Astyanax mexicanus: one gene and its partners. The protein of the gene in region 1 binds, or shares a complex with, the protein of each later gene. Links are inferred from orthologs where the notes say so. Each region holds a gene or a part of one and is shown on either strand. Other genes may lie near its edges. The genes, in order: piga, zgc:162634 and pigh.

Region 1 (7,431 bases):
ACAGTATTAAAAGATTACAGTCTGACTTTTCTCTTTATTTTTCAGAGATCCGGCTGCGGAAACTGGTGGATGAACGCGAGAGTTTAATAGAACAAGTAAGAAAACAACATTTTTAATACTTCTACATAAGTATTTTATTAAACCCCAGTATTTATACTTCTATCTACAGAGTAACGTATGGAGATATACTTTTCACACCTCTGTATGTATTTATTATCATAATATAACTATTTGTCCACAAAAATATATAACTTTGTTTAATTGAAAGACCTTGCAGACTGAATTATGGGGTGGATCTCAGATGGTTTGGGATTGTGTTTCTGTTACTGAGTTGATTATCCAAATATCATTACAATGTAAAAAGAGTTTATTTCTGGTAATTTTGAAGTATTTCTATTGGTCCGTTCATCAAGAAATTTTGGCACAGTGTAAAGGGCTGTTTCTCTGTTCAAATTATGTAGTAAACTAAAAAAATGGACAAAAATGAAGATTATTCTTATTATTGGACAGCGACGATATGTAGTTTATAGCATAACAATGAATTAAAGAACAAGTAGTAATAATAAAAATAATATTAATAGTGGTAAAAATGTCTTTTTGTTCAGGTGAAGAGACTTAAAGGACAACTTGAACAGAAAAAAATGGTGCTGGACACAGAGGATGTCTCCAGGCTCGAGGGAGAGACGATGGAAAACGGCACAGACAATAACGTCATGGATTTACAAAGTATTTAAACTTGTAAATTAACACTGTAAAGGCTTTTTGTTATCTATACATTGATCATTGATAAGTTATCATTAATGAATTGTGTTCTTTTGCAGGAGAAGCCAACAGGCAGATCACTGATCTGAAATTTAAGCTAGTGAAGTCTGAACAGGAAGTCACAGCTCTGGAACAGAATGTAAGAACTTCCTCTCAATTTTCTCAATGTTTATTTGTGCTAAAGCGCTTAAATAGAGTTAAATGTTAAAATCTCTCTAAAATCTCTAATATCAGGCCACAAGACTGGAAGGACAGGTCTCTCGATACAAATCTGCAGCAGAGAACGCAGAGAAAGTGGAGGACGAGCTTAAAGCTGAGAAACGCAAACTGCAGAGAGAGGTATGATGGAGGATTTTTTTTTTTACTTGAGTATGTTTATTTGTCATGATGGAAATTCCAAATACAAATATTGTATTATCTGTAGAAAATGAGAAATGGCTGAAATAACAAAGAAATAATGAAAAAGATGCAGAGCTTTCAGACCTCAAATAATGCAAAGAAAACAACAAGTTCATATTCATAAAGTTTTAAGAGTTCAGAAATCAATATTTGCTGGAATAACCCTGGTTTTTAATCACAGTTTTTTTTTTCATGCATCTTGGCATCATGTTCTCCTCCACCAGTCTTACACACTGCTTTTGGATAACTTTATGCTGCTTTACTCCTGGTGCAAAAAATTCAAGCAGTTCAGTTTGGTGGTTTGATGGCTTGTGATCATCCATCTTCCTTTTGATTATATTCCAGAGGTTTTTAATTTGGTAAAATCAAAAGTTCTCTCTTGCAGTTATTTTATAAATTATTTCAGTTTGAATTTTGACAGTCTGTACCTAATTTTTGTGGATTTTCTGTTGATTTTGCTGATAAAGACTTTTACTTCTGTAATCTCGTTTGCTTCTGCTTCATTTTTTTATTCTTGAGTTTTGGCACAGTTTTTACGGGTGGGTGGGGCTTAGAAGAAGGCGTTTCCCTTGAATTTTCATTGGTTACCTGATTTTGGACTGACTGGTACCTGAACCCTTGTCTGAGACCTACCAATGAAGATTCAAGGGGAACGCTTTCTTTTAAACTCTGCCCACCTGTGAAAACTGTGCCAAAACTCAGAAACTGAAAACACAAGTACCCTAATGTTACCATAATGGCTGTGCATGCACCAAATACATAATAAAAGAAAAAGCTGAAAATGGCAAAAGAAAAAAAGTCTGGCTGCCTTTCTCTGAATAAATTTCACTCCCATGAGTAGCACTAAATGTATGATTAGAATAGCACTACTGAGGTAAATCTATTCCTAAAATTGCACTGTTGAGGTATGTGTGACTAGATCAGTACTGCTGAAATAAATTCTAATTTCTAAAAGACACTAATATGTTGCTGTACCTTTTTTTGTAAACGACAGCTCCGGTCTGCTCTGGATAAGATTGAGGAGTTGAAGTCGAGTAACAGCCACTTAACCAAACGACTGGAGAAGATGAAGGTGAAATGAGGGGAAATGAGCCTGTAAAAACACCTGACGTTTCACTATTTCCCCAAGTTCTATTACACAATACAGCAATATCAACATGAAGCACAGACATACTGAAAAACTGAACTGTACCATGTGTTTTCTTTATTTTTCTGTGTTCATCTTTGCATTGAAATGGAGATTTAAGGATGAAAGTTGTTTACGTCGGACTTGAGTGTGCATCCTTTTTTTGCACCTGTAGCTCAAAATGTTTAGAAAGTGTTATTTTTATTGGATAAAAACTTGAATTTAACTGTATTGAGTAAAGAGAGAGTGGGTAAAGGTGTGGTTAAGGACGTGGTATTGGGTCGTCTTACATGGTGGAACCTCTGTTGATAATTTGCGTAATTTTAACATTTTCATTTGCAGCAAGAACAGGAAAAGGCAGTGATCATTTCTTCATTTTTTAAGCTTGTTCTGGCTGCTGCGCTTGCACAGATCTCCACTTCCAGTGTGATTCTCCCTGATAGAACTGACGCTAAAGTACTGAAGCTAAAGCTTTAATCTTCTGAGCTTCCTTGTGTGTTTGCCAAATACTGTACCACTCTACCACACTAGTTTATATATGTAGCTATATAAACATATACATATATTAAATGCCCCTGAATGCATGTGGTCTTTGTTTAAGAGACCTGTGCCTTCAGTGCAGGCAATCTGGACACTACTAAAGTTAGTTCTCTACTGTTAAATTAGACAATGTCCTTAAATGTAGGGTACATTTTTTCACAGTGCAGATGTCTGGATTTATGAGTAACTTTTAATGATAAATGACCAGCACAATCCACAATGTCATTAAAAACACATGATCTTGTTAGCACAAATAATTTTTTATCAGGAGACTCCAAAGGCAAACATATGAAAGAACAACTTCTAATGTAAACATATTTGTTACAGTTTATCTGGAAAGAATGTTTGATGTAAAGTAAAAGAGTTATGGCATTCATCATGATCATGATGAGAACAGTATTTATAAATATTTTAACCCTGGTAATGGATGCACCTGAATTCACGGATAAAACGATGAGTCTGGAGATTGAACACGCTGTATTTAAAATGTATTTTTGATATGTTCTCACAGTTCCTGGCTGATCCACTGTATTTAATGCTGCTCTGTGCTTTGAAGAACGAATTACAGTGTATAGATGTAGTTTTATATGAACACTAACCGTGCACAAACTGCTGAAGTAGAAACTCATCTGATATTCTGTTTAAAGGCGTACAGGTTTTAATCGAGGCTTGTTTTCACCCTTTATATGCTGGCGAGACACTGCTCAACACTGTTTACAGAGTTTAAATATACTGTAAAGGGGAATTGTAAACTTTGTGCAATAAAATGTTTACCAATGCTGAACTCTCAAATGTCTCCTACTTTTTTTAAATTTTAGATTTTATTTTACTACCTAGCTAACTCATTTACTGAAGACATACAGGTAAGTTTTCTTTGCGTTTTTAGGGAAATACCTCATATATTCTATTAAAGGAATATACTAAACAAGTCGGTAGGTAACTTTCTTCATTTTTAAGATGACATTTTATTATAATTTAAATTTTATGACATCCACGAGCCTTTTAATTACGGAGGACCTTTATTATGACATACGAGAGCTGGAGCCCGGTCTCGCGCCGTACCCTCCTCCTGGCGTGTAGCGTGGCCGCCATATTGGAGGAGTCAACCACGCGACCCAGTGCATTAATTTACACTGAGGAAGGTGTTTAATACAACTATAATAATCGCAACTCTGTATACATGTGATATGGCATATTAACAAGTGTATAAATAATTAATTTTATATTTATATATACGTATATACACACATTAACTATATAAAACGTGTTTCTTCATTAAAATATTAAATGAATTCGTTTATACAGCGTCCTGTATCATTGCTACATCTCTGCTGTTTGTAACAAATCAAACCGTGTGGAAATCGGGAAAAACACTTTCCTTAGTGAGAAAATTATTTTTCTGGGGCGCATGAATGACCCATCCAATATGGCGGCCAATCAACGCGTGGTCTTTGTATATGATGTCTATGGGCAGTGGTAGCTCAGTGCGGTCGGTAGGTGGCGGTGTGCAGTTTTGTGCTGCTGGAGACCGGCAGCAGTCGAAGAAGACTGTGTACTGGCTCAGTAGCAGATGTGCTAACTCAAGAGTTCTGTGATTTATAACAGAAATATGTAGTTATTTCAGTCTGTCTCTTAATAAAACAGGTAGATATGAAGCTGTACTTTATTAAACTTTCACACAGAGGCTGTGATATCAACTGTTTAGCTGCCGGAGTCTGACTGCAGGTATTTATATTATACATATCATAGCCATCGAGCTGTTAGCTCAACACAGCTAACTCTAACTTACTCTGTAAATCTTAATATTAACCTATTGATTAAACTATAAAACTCACTCTTTACATACATTTTAATTTATAATATTCTTTTCACCCGGAGTTCAGTTGTATGAATATGAATATAATAGTTATTCCTGTTTGATTTGGGGGGTTAAGTAAAGCTATATTACAGAAACAGGAAATCTGACTGACAGGATTAACTCTATATGGATTTACAATAAACAGGTATTTCATCTTCTGATTCAAAATTACTGTTATATAAATGATATAATATATTACAAACTGATTTTTTGCACAAGTGACATAAAGTTCTCCAAAAGCAGTGTGTAAGACTGGTGGAGGAGAATATGCTAAAAAGCTAAAGTTAAATGAATAAGTCTAAACGACTATGCAATATTTACAGCCTATAGCGTTTTTTAAGTAAACTTTTATATTATGTTAAAAAATCTTATCATTCTGGTATTGGTGAATAATATATAAAAAAAAATATAAATATCATAGGTGTAGAAACAAAGAGATGGCCATAATGTTATATTTGATCGGTGTATCTAGTTTAGTAGTGTAGTAACAGGATGCAATTAGTATATATTTTTAAAACATTCAAGAAATGTAGTCAACACAACTGTGCTTTTTTAAATGACATTTAAGCATGTTAAAGTATATAGTTATGTATTCTTAAATGCAAATATTTCCAATTTTTCAAAGTATTGCAATTTGTAATACTATATTTTTCACTGTCACACAAAAGCCACGTTTGACATTGCTACCGGATTAAAGTCAGATTTACTATGTATATATTTTTGCAAAGGATATCATGAGTATCAATTACTCTCAATTACTATCCAATTAATATCCAGTGTTCTGAACTACAGATTGAGTAGAGAAAATTAAATGAGTAAATGACAGTACATATTTTAATATTTAATTATTAGAGGTGTATAAAACAATTGATATATTGAAATATTGAGATTTTTTTTACTCATTAGATCCCACTGTTTTTATTGGACTAAAAAAATAAACTTTTTTTTTTTTTTAGATTTTATAAATATAATAGGTCGTTTTTTGAACTACGATGCATTAAATAAATGTATTTAATCAATCACAGTGTATCGCCTTGCTTAAATTATCGCCATTTTTTTTTTTTTGTAGGTCTAAACTGGATGTGAACATGAAGTCAAGAAGAAGAAGAGGAGATAAACAGGCGGCTGCTTCCTGCCAGCCTGACGCTCATCCTCCCGCCCCACACAGTCCTGCCAGTCTGCTGCCCTCCGGCACGGCCAGACGTTCCTCCCAGAAGAAGCACAGTATCTGTATGGTGTCTGACTTCTTCTACCCCAACATGGGCGGAGTCGAGAGCCACATCTACCAGCTCTCACAGTGTCTCTTAGAGAGGGGGCACAAGGTGGTGATCGCTACGCATGCGTACGGAGACCGGCGTGGAGTTCGCTACCTCACCAACGGCCTGAAGGTCTATTACCTCCCACTGCAGGTGTGTGGCTGAGCTTCAGTGAAGCTGAGGACATATTAGTATTTATATTGTACAATATATATATATAATATATGTCACCCACTCTAAAGAATGCATCCTGATACTTTAAATTGCACCTATTTTTGACAGAGATGTACAAACTCACAGTTTATCTAATCCCTTTAGTAGTGAAGCATTGCCAATTAAATACGACTCTTCTAGACAAATATAATGCTATTATCACTATTCCTTATTTCAGGTAAGGGGTAGAGGGGTATAAAACCTCCCATATTAATTTGATTTTTTGAAAGGAGAAATGAATAAGCAGGTATTTAATGAAGTGAATTTTGTGCCAAAAGTTTAATGCAAAAAAAAAGAATATAGCAAATATATATTTTTAAATATAGTTGCTGCTAAAATATACTGCTGCTAAAGACTTTTTATCCTGGAATCTCTCTTTTGCTTCTGCTTCATTTTCTGCATTTCTTTTTTTTAGATTAGGCACAGTTTTCACGGGTGGGCGGGGCTTAGAAGAAGGCGTTACCCTTGAATCTCCATTGGTCATCTGATTTTGGACTCTATACCCTAGTCTGAGACCAACCAATGGAGATTCAAGGGTAAAATCCGCAGAAAATCCACAAAAACATAAAAAATAAGAGCAAAGACTGGCAAAATCCAAACTTAAATATAAGTGAAAATAAGTGCAAAGAATAATTAAGTAACCAAGTATATTTAAAAAAATATATATTTGCTAATTTTTTTTATTTTTTGAATTTGCAACATACACTTTTTTTTCTTTTTTCTTTTGATTCTCAAATTTTTATTGCGAATTTAATTTTTTGCGTAAAACGTTTGACACTAAATTCACTCCATAGTTGTTGTTTTTTTTTTTTTGTCTTTTGGCCATATATAGTGTGTGTAAGAAATGTGTGTGAATATGTTAAGGTGAATTTATTTTCTTTTAAGGATAAAAAAAAACCCTAAAATGAAAGTGACTGTCCTCTGTTTCTCTCTTTTCTGTAGGTGATGTATAACCAGTCCACAGCCACCTCCTGCTTCCACAGCTTACCTCTGCTCAGGTGTGTGTTCGTACGCGAGCACATCACTGTGGTACACGCCCACAGCTCCTTCTCGGCCATGGCCCATGATGCTTTGTTCCACGCCAAGACCATGGGCCTCAACACGGTGTTCACTGATCACTCGCTCTTCGGGTTCGCTGATCTGAGCTCAGTGCTAACCAACAAACTGCTGACTGTAACGCTGTGTGACACCAATCACATCGTGTGTGTGTCGTACACCAGTAAAGAGAACACTGTTCTGAGAGCTGCTCTAAACCCCGACATCGTCTCTGTGATCCC
Region 2 (5,212 bases), on another chromosome or scaffold:
ATAACTTACTAACAGGTAATGTACTCACTATTTAGGTAATCTAAACCTATTTAATATTATGTTCAGTTATCTTTTACTATAGGCATCACATATTTTTAAGAAAATGTTACTGTAAGATGGTACTGAGTTGTGAAAGTAGATCTGTGCTGAGCTGTGAAATAGTAAATGTGGGTCATGTCTGACCAATATGTGTAAAACTGATGTAGAAATACAAAAGCTTCTTCATAAAATAAAAAAGAAAAGAAAAAGAAAATTTGTGCTAAAGAAACACTCAGCTATACATGAAGTTCCATAAAAAATTGAAGGTGGGTAATTTTTGACCCATGTGGGCATTAGAGGGGTAGTGATATCAAAAGGGCTTTTATTCAAAAAGTAAGTAAGGAAAAAATAAAAGAAGTATGTACTATGATGACTGATTTCAATAAATTATTTTTTTTCTATTGTACATGCTTTGCAGACTACTTGTGTGCATGTGTAAATTGTTTTACAGTTATGTGTCGGAATGAAATATTTCAATGATAAACTTATAATGCAATTTCTATTAAATTTTTAAGTTATCAAAACGTCATGCGTCATGATTCAGTAAAGTGCAATTATAACAGATTTCTTATATTCAGATGGTCACTGAAAAACAATACTACCAGTTTTGTAACAGGCAAGAATTTAAATATGGCACACACGCGCATGAAATAATGTTATATAGAGGTGGGAAATAAGCATAAATTTCAACAGACTGATAATGTGGAGTAAAAACAACTAGAAATATGTAGTACAGGCAATTTATTCTACTTCAAAATTGTATTAAATGCCAAGTTCAGAGGGTCATAATAAAAATGGTACAGTAATATACATTGTTGTTTAGGCTATTCACAGTATAGTAGTGCTGGGCGATATAACGATATCGATTTGTTTCGCGATAATTTTTCCCTCGATGACGATGATAAGCCTGTGCAATAGAATTCGATAAACATTCATTTCCATTTCCGTCTAAGTGGCGCGGCAAACAACGAAAACACAACGTGTAATCAATCCAGAAGACGCTGGAGCAAATTAATAAATAGTTAAGAAAATTGTAATAGTTATTCTCATGCATGCAACAAAAAACCCTAAAGAATAGTGGAGTATGGCCCGACACACGCAAACAACCATAGTGTTTGGACTTTGGGAATAAACGGCCGCACTGTTCAGCACGTTTTAAATAAATTTTAAGTAAATTTTAAGCACTAAATGTAATTAATTCAATTTATATTAGGACCTCGGGGCAGGTGCTGCAAAAATGTGTATGTGGGGCGCGGATTAAAGGAAGAGGTTTTTTTGCGGAGCGGTAACAGGACAAAAACACCTTAAGAATGATGTCTAAATGACTTTCCTCTAATCTAATATAATTTAACATGGTTTAAGGATATAAAATAATTTCTAAACAAACGAACTTTTTAATATTGAGCTTATGGCCCAAGTGCAAAAACACAAAATCATTTATCATTTAGATTATCTGCCTGAACGCGAGCCCGAACCCGAGCTTGAACGCCAGCCTGACTCAGGCGCTGCATGAACTCGGGCCGGTCGAGAACACCGCTTTCCTCTCAGATTAGGCGGAAGAAAATGGTCTTTTTTTTAATGTAACAAATCACACTGTGATTTTTGTGATATTTCCCCAATTACAGCTCAGCTGCGCGTTTAAAGCTCAACGCATGAATTAATCGGTGCGCTGTGCGCCGCGCGTGCTCGCGGGGGATTTGACGCGTCTGTCAAGCAAGTTAATGGACCGTTTTGGGGGCAGAGATTAAGAAGTACAGCAGGTACATCTCAGATTTGTAGTTTAATGCTCTACTAAATTACTGGCTTTAAAACTGGCTCATGATATGGTCGGTTCTGGCTGGATTTTTTCCTGCCTACAGGCTGCATTTGACGGAAAGCAGCTCCTCAGTCAGACAACAGTGTCAGCATACAAATCGTGTGCGTTTCCTACAGGACAAACCATTTAAAAGTGCAGATAAACTCATTAAAAAATCACACAGTGTCTGTCTGGCTTAAAATACTTTTAATAAGGTACAGCTTTTAAATTAATAAATCAACATTCATTAAAAATCCGTGAGAAGTTCTGTATGCTAAATGACAAGCTAAGCTAATAAGCTAATAACATTTAATAATAACAGAAAAATAGATATGAATTTGGAAAATAACCAACTAAAGTGAGCTCAAAATACAATAATAAATATAATCTAACGAATTTCAAAATATAAATTAGAAATATTGAACTTCAATATTAAATTCAACTTCAACTACAAAAAACGCAAGGACCGATAGAACATAACGAACAGAAAAAAATAAATTTGAAATTGGAAAAAAAGTTCAAAATGCTAAAAGAAATAAAACCTAACGAATTTCAGAATATAAAATCTAAATATTGCACTGCAGCAGTACAAAAGCCTAAGTGCTTAAACAAACAAACCAAAAAACAGCCTATCACAAATCATTTTTTGAGCCCGACCCAGCTGAGGAAAAGGTGGGAAATCTTTTTTTTTCCGGCTGGGTCTTGGAAAACTTTGTGGTGAATTAAAGGGGCCGAGTTGCAATTTTTGTTTTACTTTAATCAGTTTTTAATCCGTCTTTTTAAAAACAAATATTCCAATATTGGCTGCCAATCAGTGCCCAATATTCTGAGCTCAAAAAACGCTATTCGGGCCAGCCCTACTAATCTAATATAATTTAACATGGTTTAAGAATATAAAATAATTTCTAAACAAACGAAATATTTAATATTGAGCTTATAGCCCAAGTTTTTTTTTCAGTCATGGAAAATTGGAAAAAATTGGAAAAAAGCCCGAGTTCATGCAGCGCCTGAGTCAGGCTGACGTTCAAGCTCGGGTTCTGGCTCGCGTTCATGATTAATTTGTTTTTTTTAAAAACTAATATTGGAATATTCGCTACCAATTACTGCCAAATATCCGGAGCTCAAAAAATGCTATTCGGGCCAGCCCTAATAATTATGGAGATACAGAAAAAAATATTGTGATAAAACTTCCATCACTCCCTTATTCTCTCACTAATAAAAACAAACCTTTAAGTGTGACACAAAGTGATTTGATTTATATCGTGATACATATCGATATCGACTGATATGGAAAACTATATCGTGATAAGATTTTTTCCCATATCGCCCAGCTCTACAGTATAGTAGTTCTATTTTCATAATTTGGTGTCAACTTCAATAGACTCTGATAATCTGGAGTTAAGGCAGATAGATATATGCAGAACAGGCAATTTATTGTCCTTTAATCTTCTCAAATGCCAAGATTAAAGGGTCATAATAAACAAATATTGTACAGTAATATGTCTACTTCTTTAAGCTTTTCACTGTATACTAGTTTTATTTTCATAATTTGGTGTCAAATTCAATAGATTCTTTGATAATCTGGAGTTAGGGCAGCTACAAATATGCAGAACAGGCAATTTATTGTCCTTTAATCTTCACAAATGCCAAGTTCAGAGGGTCATAATAAATAATGGTACAGTAATATTTCTAGTTCTTTAGGCTTTTCACAGTATACTAGTTCATTTACATTCAAACATAAATGCAGAACAGGCTATTTATTCTAATTTATGAGCCCAATCTTGCTCTCTACTGACGAATCATTGGCATTTCGACTTTTTAAGGTGGACCGGAAAATCCGAATAAGACACTGGCAAATAAGACGCTAACTCCGTCCTCGTGTACTACTGTTGCATACTACCTACTACTGCTGCACTGCTGCTGTACTACTACTGCTGTACTACTACTGCTGTACTACTACTACTTTATGTTTGATTATACCGCATTATACAAGACACATGAGACCTATTCAATGAATTCAGGCGATCTTCCTTTCAGTCAATTTGGAACAAACCTGATCCAGGTACCTACGTCCTAAAGACTGCTGAACTGTCTGGTTAAGGTGTATTAAGAAATTAGAAATGGAGAAAAATCACTATTACAGTTATTCTTTTTATTGTTCTCTGCAACTGTATTACATTGTAGAATTCTTGCATAGTGTAATGTTTTATTATTTTTAATAAAAGTATTTATTATAAACAATTGTTTTCATTTTTCTTTTTTAGGTACAACAAAGAAACAAATGAATTAATCAATGAAGAGCTTGGCATTGCCTATCCTATTATTGATGGTATTCCTAACATGATTCCTCAAGATGCAAAGCTGATCAAGAAGGCTGAGGGAATTGAAGAGCCCACCCAGTCATAGGTGGAACTACAGCATAAGCCGAGTGCAGTTGTTTATTATATTACATTTGCAGTAAACATCTAAGCCATAATGCTATTTTCTCTGTCAACTGTCACTGTGATAGTACCAATTTTGTCCTTAATTGGACTAATGTATTCTGCAAGTGTGGATGAAAATTTCCCCCAGGGCTGTACCGGCTCAAACAGTGTGTGTTTCTATAGTCTCTTGTTGCCGGTCACTATTCCTGTGTACGTGTTCTTTCATCTGTGGAAATGGATGGGAATCAAGCTGTTTAGACACAATTAGAATGTTTGTTTAATCAGAAGGGTAAATAAAATTCTATGCAGACATAAGTGATTTAAATTTGTATTTTTAAGAACGTTAAAACTTTGTGTTTGTGATTGACTAGATGGGTTACAAAATAAATAAACATATGACTATATTTTACCACTATTCATTGTATTAATCCCAATTCATTTATTTCAGATGTTTGTAACGGTTTAATTCAGCCCGTGCCTAGACACACAAACACGCTATATAACAGAAATAACCGCCTGTTCTTTTATTGTTTCTTCCATAATCAATGGTGTTAAACGTTTTTATAATTATTATTATTTTTAAGAGGAACTGGCTCAACTATCCATGAAGGTCTTTGTACTAAAGTTTGAAGCATTACTATAGGTGTTTATTTGCAATTCAGTAATATGCAATAGTGAGGTCAGAATGTTGAATGATTAACACATCACTTAATCCCAAAAATGTAGCATTACATATAGACAAATTCTTGTATGTGCCCTAAATATTTTGCTCAAATATTTATTAAACCTGTGTGATGCTGATAAATGTTTAAAGTTACCCTGCAATAATGATTTTTTTAATATAATTGCACCCCTAAAATATACATGCAAAAGCTATTTATCTGAGCAGTAAACACATCGAAAGTACAAAGCACTCCTTGAAAAAAATCAATGCCTGATATAACAAATGCTTCAT
Region 3 (7,747 bases), on another chromosome or scaffold:
GTAGATGACACTTGCAGAACGTGGAGAGCGTGTGGTGGTGTTGTCCAGCTGCGACTCCACGCTACGCAGCAGGCCATTGAAATCAGTGGGAGGGTTATAGGTGCGTGTGCCTCGATACTGAATAGAGCTGAAAGCCTCTGGGAAGAGCCCAAGCTTTCTGAAACGCTCCTGGAGAAGGCGCTCGGCAGACTCAGAAGGCTTATCTGCAGACCATTAAAAAGCATGGATTAGTGCTGGACAGTACTTAAATGATTTCAAATCGAGATATTTAAAAGGTCCAGAACACTGACCTGAGCCTAGCAACTTGGTATGGACGGTCTCGTGAAAAATGATAACAGCAGGGCCCAAAGTGGAAAGCGGCACATCCAGACCACAGCGGGCAGTGGTGGCTTTCAGCTCCTTTGTAAAATGCTTTAAATAAGCATCTGAAGCATCGCCCAGAAACTTAAACAGATCATCGTGAAGACGGTCGGCGTGTGTGCGGTAAATGACCAGGTCTGACACGGCCAGCACCTTCAACAGGAGACGGGTCCGCTGGCCCTGGTTTGATCCTGCTCCCAGGAGTCCCTCTGTGTCGACGACCACCACCTTATGAAGTGGGTCAAGTGCTGCCCACACTCCAACAGTGCACGACTCCTGCGTGGGGGATGTCTTGAACACTTCACGGCCTTTGAAGAACGTGTGGTTTAGGGTGTGTGATTTGCCTTCCCCAGTATTACCAAAAATGGACACCACCTTCAGCAGTTCATCCGGTACACAGCCCAGTCTCTTCACAAAGTTATCTCCACTCTTTACCTGATCACAGTAGAAGTGCAACATAGTTTACGGTCATCGCTTTTAATATGGTAAGGTGTTGAGTTTTAAAATATACTGAGAAACTAAAATTACTTCATGATATTCCTAAAAAGTAAAATCCATGTAAAAATATTCAAAAACTGTCTGCTTTATAGTTTTGTGGAGTGGATTTATTTCTAATAAACAAAAATAAATTCAGTGTTGACACTTCTTTTTTTTTTACCTCTATATTGCATATTTTCGGCACTGTTTACCAATCGTGGTTCTGAAGTAGCCCTGCACTACACTAAAGCTAAAACCAAGCAAAACTAATGAAGCTAAAACTAATGGAAATCAATGTCATCTATAGTTTTTGATCAATGCCTGCTACCACTGGTTTACCATGGTTCTTCACTGGCATGATTTAAAATATTCATTGGTATCACCTTTAGATCATCCATGATTGACTATGATTGTTCTCTTTTTTTTATTCCTTTAATTCCAAAATACTCAACGAGCAAGACAATTTACAGTAAAAAGGGCCACCCTGAAGTCAATCCTGAGAACCTATGCTTTGATTTCAGTGCACACCAACATAACATGCCTATCTCAATTTTTTTTTCTTTTTTTACTATGGGTTGGCCCCACATATACATGTCAGTGAAGGACCTTATCAGGGTCAGTGATGAGAACAGCAGGAGTAAAACACAAGCCCCATCTGGGTTGCACTGTGAACATAGATGAAAGTAAGGTGTGCTGTAATGATGAGGCACAACTGAGAAATCCAACTGGGTCAAGACAACACAAGACAAGACAACCATAGTGTTCATACTTGTGCTGGAAGCACAGGTGGAATTTGGCCTTCGCCTTTAACCCATTTGTGCAGTGAACACACACACGCATACACACACACCAGTGAATACAAACACCAAGTAACCAGTAATACAGTGAGCTCAATTAGCCAACAGTGGCAGCTTGCCAATCCAGGGTATCAAACCCACAACCTGGTTTTCAATAGCCCACTCAGAGGTCATGCCCACCTCAAACCCACCTAGCCCATATTTCATCAATGAGGGCGCCACATGAGCCTGTTGGCTTGGTGAAATGTACCAAAAAGTACAGCCCTGAAAAAAAAATAAGAGACCACTTCGAAATGATCAGTTTCTCTGATTTTACTATTTATAGGTATATATTTGAGTAAAATGAACAATGTAGTTTTATTTTATTCTATAAATCACTGACAACATTTCTCCCAAGTTACAAATGCAAATATTGCCATTTAGAGCACTTGAAAAAATGAGAAATGGTCAAAAATAATTAAAAAGGTAAAGTGCTTTAAATCCTTAAATAATGCAAAGAAAACAAGTAGATATTCATAAAGTTTTAAGAGTTCAGAAATCAATATTTAGTGGAATTACCCTGATTTTTGATTACAGCTTAATGCATCTTGGTATGCTCTCCACAAGTCTTTCACACTGCTTTTGGCTGACCTTACTCCACTCCTGGTACAAATTCAGGCAGTTCACCTTTGGCTTGTGACCAACTTACATCTTACATGATTACAATTAGAGTTTTTTTTAATGAAAGTTGTGACTAAAACTGTGGGTTATTCTACCCATTGTTGGTTCTAAACTCACCCTAAAATAAAGCTTGCTGTTTGATTGCTGTTGTTCCTAAATGCATATGAACTTGTTTTTCTTTTGTTTGCATTATTTGAGGTCAGAAAGCTCTGCATTTCTTTTTGTTATTTCAGCCATTTCTCATTTTCTGCAAATAAATGCTCTAAATGACAATATTTTTATTCTGAATTTGGGAGAAATGTTGTCCGTAGTTTATAGAATAAAACAACAATGTTTATTTTATTTAAACATATATCTATAAACAGCAAAACCAGAGAAACTGATTCAGAAACTGAAGTGGTCTCTTATTTTTTTTTTCCACAGCTGTATGTGAATCCATCTCATTCCCATACCTGCATATCCTCCTTCTCATCCACCAGCAGGAAGCTGCAGACCTTGTCCAGCTGGGCGTTCACGCGCTGCAGGTCCTCGTCAGCATCAGAGTTCATGTTGGCCTCGGGGGGTTTGCAGGGCGGGTAGGCAGAGAGGGGGTGCTTTCTTTTACTCACGCCGCTGTGAGTGCGCTTCTGGCAGTCCAGGCACAGGTTGATCTTGCAGCCCTGACACCTGACCACGGCCCTGAGGCGAGAGCCGTTGGCAGGACAGCTGCCGTCGCCTTTGCAGGAGTCGCAGAAGGGTACGTGGCCCTGGGAGATCCGGACGCGGTCGTGGTTCCTCATGCGCTCCTGCCGGTGCAGCTCCAGCTCGCAGCGGGCGCACTGCAGGCTGCCGCACTCGTCGCACTCGAAGGCGGCCTCATCCGAGCCGCCGCAGGCGTAGCTCTCCTGGCAGACCAGGGCGCCGTTCACTCCCTGCCCGCTCATCCTGGAGCCACAACTCACTGAATTACAAGCAACTTTAACTTAGCTAACGTTAGCTAACTTGCTCAGACCTCGAAACGCACCTGATGATAATAACCGTTCATTAGAACCATTGAAATTATTGCTTGATCACGAACTCAACCTAACTAGTTATCTGCTTTAAAACCAGTCTGCATAAGAGAAACAATAATAAATAAATACAAAAACACCACACACCCACCACTTAAGGCTATGACACTGACTCCAAACCTTACACGCACTAACCCAACTAAATTAGTTAACTACTAAACTATTGCACCAGTTTAAAAGTTTAAAGCTGCTCTTAAATCCACTTTTAATCACAACCTGAAATAACACCATGTATCCACCACAGATATTTACAGCTAGTTAACTTAACTAGATAAGCTAGCTAAAGTTAGTTACTGAACTTATGACACCGCTGGAACAACGCCCAGATCATTCCATTTGCAAGCTACCTTGGTTAACTTTAGCTAGTTAACTTAACTAAGCTAGTTAACAAATTAACTTGTAGTAAATTAAGTAAGACTCTATCTTTAGAATATTATTAGATAAATCTAACCTAAATTAGGACCATAGATGGATTTTGTTTAAAAATATTTAACTTTTGTAACTAATGACACTCTAGAAATTGATAAATTATCTATCTAGCTAGTTAACCTATCTTTTTTTTTTTTTAGCTAATTGGGTTAACTAAACAAGCTATCACACATACTGGCCTTTAGTATCTTAGGGAACGTTACTGTATATTTAGCTGGCTATTAGCTCCCTAGCTAGCATACTGCCCCGCCACAGTCCCATCTGCTCAAGCGACCATTAGCAGCTAGCTAACTAGCTCAGCTAACTTAATGATAGTCCGTGGTTTAAATAAACAACATCACCAACCTCTCAAAGCCGCTCTCAGCTCTCATATCTAGCTACACCCTGCAATATCACCCTGATAAACGCCACAGGCTACGAGGACGGACGCGGACGGACGTGTTGAGCTTTTGTTCAACAAGCTAGCAGCATTAGCATTTCGTTAACAGGAGGAAAAAGGATACTGCCCTCTAGCTAACACTCAATGACAACAAATAATAGACTTTCTTTAATAAATACACAAATATTAGACAGGCCTGACTGGCTCCGTGCGCCCAGCTGCGTTTAAAACGGTCTGTGAAGCGCGTTTATCCCAAAACAACAACAACAACAGCAGCAGCAGCAGGAGCTCTGGGGTCTGCGGTCAGCAGCCTTCCTGACTTAGCAAAACAGCACAACAAATCTGTATTTCGAGCGAGACAGCGGCGCAGTTTTCACCAGACCGGCCGCAGGAACACACACAGCAGCGCCCGGGCTGTCTCTGGACAGATTTACAGTCTGGACAGGAAGGTCGAGCCGCTTGTTTTGAGAGCAGCTGGTTAGCTGAATAATTCCGCTGGCCGGTTGATTTCGGAGAGTGTTGTTGCCAAGTCACATCAGCTGATCGACTTTGTTTTCAGCCTGAAGGTCGGAGGGGAACGGCTGCTGCAAGGTGAGTAGGGAAATGTAGTGAAAAACCGAGGGAAAAGGCGGCTAACGAAGCTAGTTTGCTAACCCATCTATTTAACCGCTGTTTCTTATCGTCCCTGTTAACGTCTTCTGTTTTTTTTTATGCAGTAACACTGCACTCTTTCAGCAATGCCATGTGTATTAACTATATTAGTGATGCTAAGTGTTTTAATGTATTACATTTTACCGGATGAATAGGATAATCTATGGAAGGTATAGAGACTTATTACATAACTTATTTTTGAAATAACTCGTCATAAATTTTAATTATATTTCTTTTATCATTCTAATTTTACAATAACAACTAGTTAACTTAGTGTCCCCAGCTAGCATAGCCCTGTCAACTCATTTTAATGAGGTGTGGCAATAGGAACAGTGTCTGATGAGTGTTTAATAAGGCAGCTTACATCTGCTCAGTTTATGTATAAGCTAATGGTGTTTTTTTTTGTTATTTTCTTACTAATAGAGTTACTTGAGTTTATGTATTTATTTTATGAGTGTATTCAATCAGGTAATTTGTTACAGTTAAACAGTTAAACCTATACTACTACTACTACTACTACTACTACTACTACTACTACTAATAATAATAATAATAATAATAATAATAATAATAATAAAAAAGAATAAGAAAAATAATAATTATATTAATAAGAAAAATTGTCGACCAAACTTAAGACTGTAAATACATTTTTAATTCCGCAGTGGCATAAAAAAAGAAATCTTGCTTTAACATGTCAGTTTAAACGTGGTAAAACTCAATTTCCCATGATGCACCGTGTTTTTTAAGGTCGCCAGGTTCTGTTCTATCGATGTGAACTGATACTCGCCGAGGCTTCATAGACATTAGTAAATATCTGGTTATATTTGGACTGTCTTTATGTACTGTATTACAGGCTTTAATCAGTATTGAACACACTTCTGTGTTGGTGAGGCGTCTTTCTGACGGGTGTTTCAGCGCTGGTTTGTGACAGCTGAGCTTGTGCTGCTGTCTGCTCCCGTCATGGCTGAAGAAGGACCGTTTACAGACATCAGCGGTAAACCCATCTCGCTGGAGTGTCAGAACTACACTCCTTTCTGCAGAGAGTTCACTGTCAGCTCCCCGAAGGTCTCTCTACTCAAGGTGATGGGGTACACCTGCTCCGTCTGGCTGCTCGCCTACGCCGTGTTCTTCCTCACGGAGGTACGTAAGTTAGCGTAACTTGCTAGGTTAGCTTCGCTAGTTAGCTAACATGACCTAAATACACTGTTGTTTTTTTGCAGTGTTGTACACTGTAAAAATGAAAAGAACAGAACCGTTTAAGTTTTGAAAAAGAAAAAAGAAAGAAAAAGAAAAGAAAAGAAATACTTTTTTTTCATATGCATAAAACTTTAAATATTAATTCTCACCAACTTTGAAGTTTACTTTGTGTTGTTAGTTTGACTCATTTAGGTTCTATGATGTGTTTTGTAAGTTCCGCTGTCTATCCATTAAGGTCACGTTTTACATAAATCAAACTCGCATAATGAGCACTATATTGTTTGTTAATATAAGTTAGCAACTGAGAATTTATGACTATTTTATATCTGTCTTATTGTCAGTCATATAAGTATTGCGGTAATGCAAACAGAACCAGCTGGTACCAGACAGCCTTCAACACTGAGGCCAGGCAGCTACTATTATATAACACATAAGTGAAGACCAAAAGAAGACAGTCTGTGGAGAATGACTGCACACTGATGGTGAGTGAGAGATGGGAGGACACACCCAATATGCAAATAGCATGACCAACATCAGGTGAAAAGCCCCTGCAGAACTGCTCAGTAGACCCTGTTTAACTGAAGAGTAAAACTGAGCAATGTGCAGTAGTGCAGAGTAGTTGGCTTGGCCTCAACTAGGGTTCAACTGCAATTTGTAAAATTTGCCACACAAATGATTTAGTCAGACCAACTTTTAACAAAAAACGTAATAATGTTAGTTGAGGCAACTAGTTTGCTATAGTTTATGGTGCAATTCAATATTTCTTGTTCAGCTGACTTAAAAATCACAGCAAGAAGAACAATTTTGAGTTTGGTTTTTACAGTGTACAGAGAGTACGTACCCTAATGTGACGTAAAAAAATAATAATATAAAAGAGATAATGCGTGGCCACGACTTATTAAAGCATGGGAACGCATTTCCACGCTTTAATAGGTCGGTCACGCATTATTTCCTTTTCTTTTATTATTTTTATTTTTTGCATGATTTCACATTAGGGGCACTGTAGTGTTTTCATGAATAGTTAGTTAGCGTTACCAAGCCTTACATTAGCTACTACTGTGTCAATCAGTAAAGTACTAATAAAATATATGTATGAGTGTATGTATAAAATAGAAAAAGATTAATAGTTAGCACATTTATTGCATGTATATACAAACAAACTGTAAATACACTAGGTGGCAAAATAAATACTAAATAGACTGCTAAATATCACTTTCATCACATATTTTATAATGTAAAAAATGTTTGTGATATTACTGCTAACGATATGATTTGGCGCTCACCTGTAACACCCTCTTCTTTAGTCACATTCTCACATAGGGGTCCGTCCTAAAATGGCAAGAATCCAGCACAGTTCAGTGATTTTGTTGTTGATTAGGGTCAACTCAGTCAATCAGTTATATTGCTGCCAAGCTTATTCCTCATCCCCTGTGCTTGAGTTTCAGTGGGTTAACTGGGTTTCAGGTGAGCACAAGCACAGTCGGTTTAAGATAGGGATGCACTAAAATGCACTAATCTTCTAAACTGTGGATCAAATTAATGTACCTTGAAATAAAAGCTGAAATGTTGAACTTTTGTATCATATTCATCTTTTAAGGTCAAACCCAAATGTTTTCAGTCTTCAACAGAAATAAAGGGATTGGCATCGCTGTTCCAATACTGTTAGAGGGGACTGCTAACAAAGCACAATTTGACTTAAAATTGATTATTTATTAAATGTATTAAGACTAAATTAATTATTTAGTCTT

Evidence for each region.
Region 2: piga (region 1) and zgc:162634 share a complex: the UniProt entries of both Homo sapiens proteins name them as parts of the glycosylphosphatidylinositol-N-acetylglucosaminyltransferase (GPI-GnT) complex. The link is inferred for Astyanax mexicanus from reciprocal best matches to the Homo sapiens genes PIGA and PIGY.
Region 3: piga (region 1) and pigh share a complex: the UniProt entries of both Homo sapiens proteins name them as parts of the glycosylphosphatidylinositol-N-acetylglucosaminyltransferase (GPI-GnT) complex. The link is inferred for Astyanax mexicanus from reciprocal best matches to the Homo sapiens genes PIGA and PIGH.

What each region holds. Positions count from the first base shown.
Region 1 is NC_064418.1:1,991,906-1,999,336, forward strand, and holds the start of piga (phosphatidylinositol N-acetylglucosaminyltransferase subunit A), read left to right. Parts: upstream 1-4,351; 5' UTR 4,352-4,552; intron 4,553-5,754; 5' UTR 5,755-5,773; coding exon 5,774-6,094; intron 6,095-7,096; coding exon 7,097-7,431. UniProt on the Homo sapiens protein: Catalytic subunit of the glycosylphosphatidylinositol-N-acetylglucosaminyltransferase (GPI-GnT) complex that catalyzes the transfer of N-acetylglucosamine from UDP-N-acetylglucosamine to phosphatidylinositol and participates in the first step of GPI biosynthesis.
Region 2 is NC_064417.1:17,145,146-17,150,357, forward strand, and holds zgc:162634 (phosphatidylinositol N-acetylglucosaminyltransferase subunit Y), read left to right. Parts: upstream 1-4,159; 5' UTR 4,160-4,309; coding exon 4,310-4,525; 3' UTR 4,526-4,672; downstream 4,673-5,212. UniProt on the Homo sapiens protein: Part of the glycosylphosphatidylinositol-N-acetylglucosaminyltransferase (GPI-GnT) complex that catalyzes the transfer of N-acetylglucosamine from UDP-N-acetylglucosamine to phosphatidylinositol and participates in the first step of GPI biosynthesis.
Region 3 is NC_064408.1:78,401,402-78,409,148, reverse strand, and holds the start of pigh (phosphatidylinositol N-acetylglucosaminyltransferase subunit H), read left to right. Parts: upstream 1-4,630; 5' UTR 4,631-4,742; intron 4,743-5,527; exon of another isoform or gene 5,528-5,655; 5' UTR 5,656-5,762; coding exon 5,763-5,942; intron 5,943-7,747. Other genes in the region: zfyve1 (zinc finger FYVE domain-containing protein 1), read right to left, coding at 1-203, 291-795, 2,747-3,217. UniProt on the Homo sapiens protein: Part of the glycosylphosphatidylinositol-N-acetylglucosaminyltransferase (GPI-GnT) complex that catalyzes the transfer of N-acetylglucosamine from UDP-N-acetylglucosamine to phosphatidylinositol and participates in the first step of GPI biosynthesis.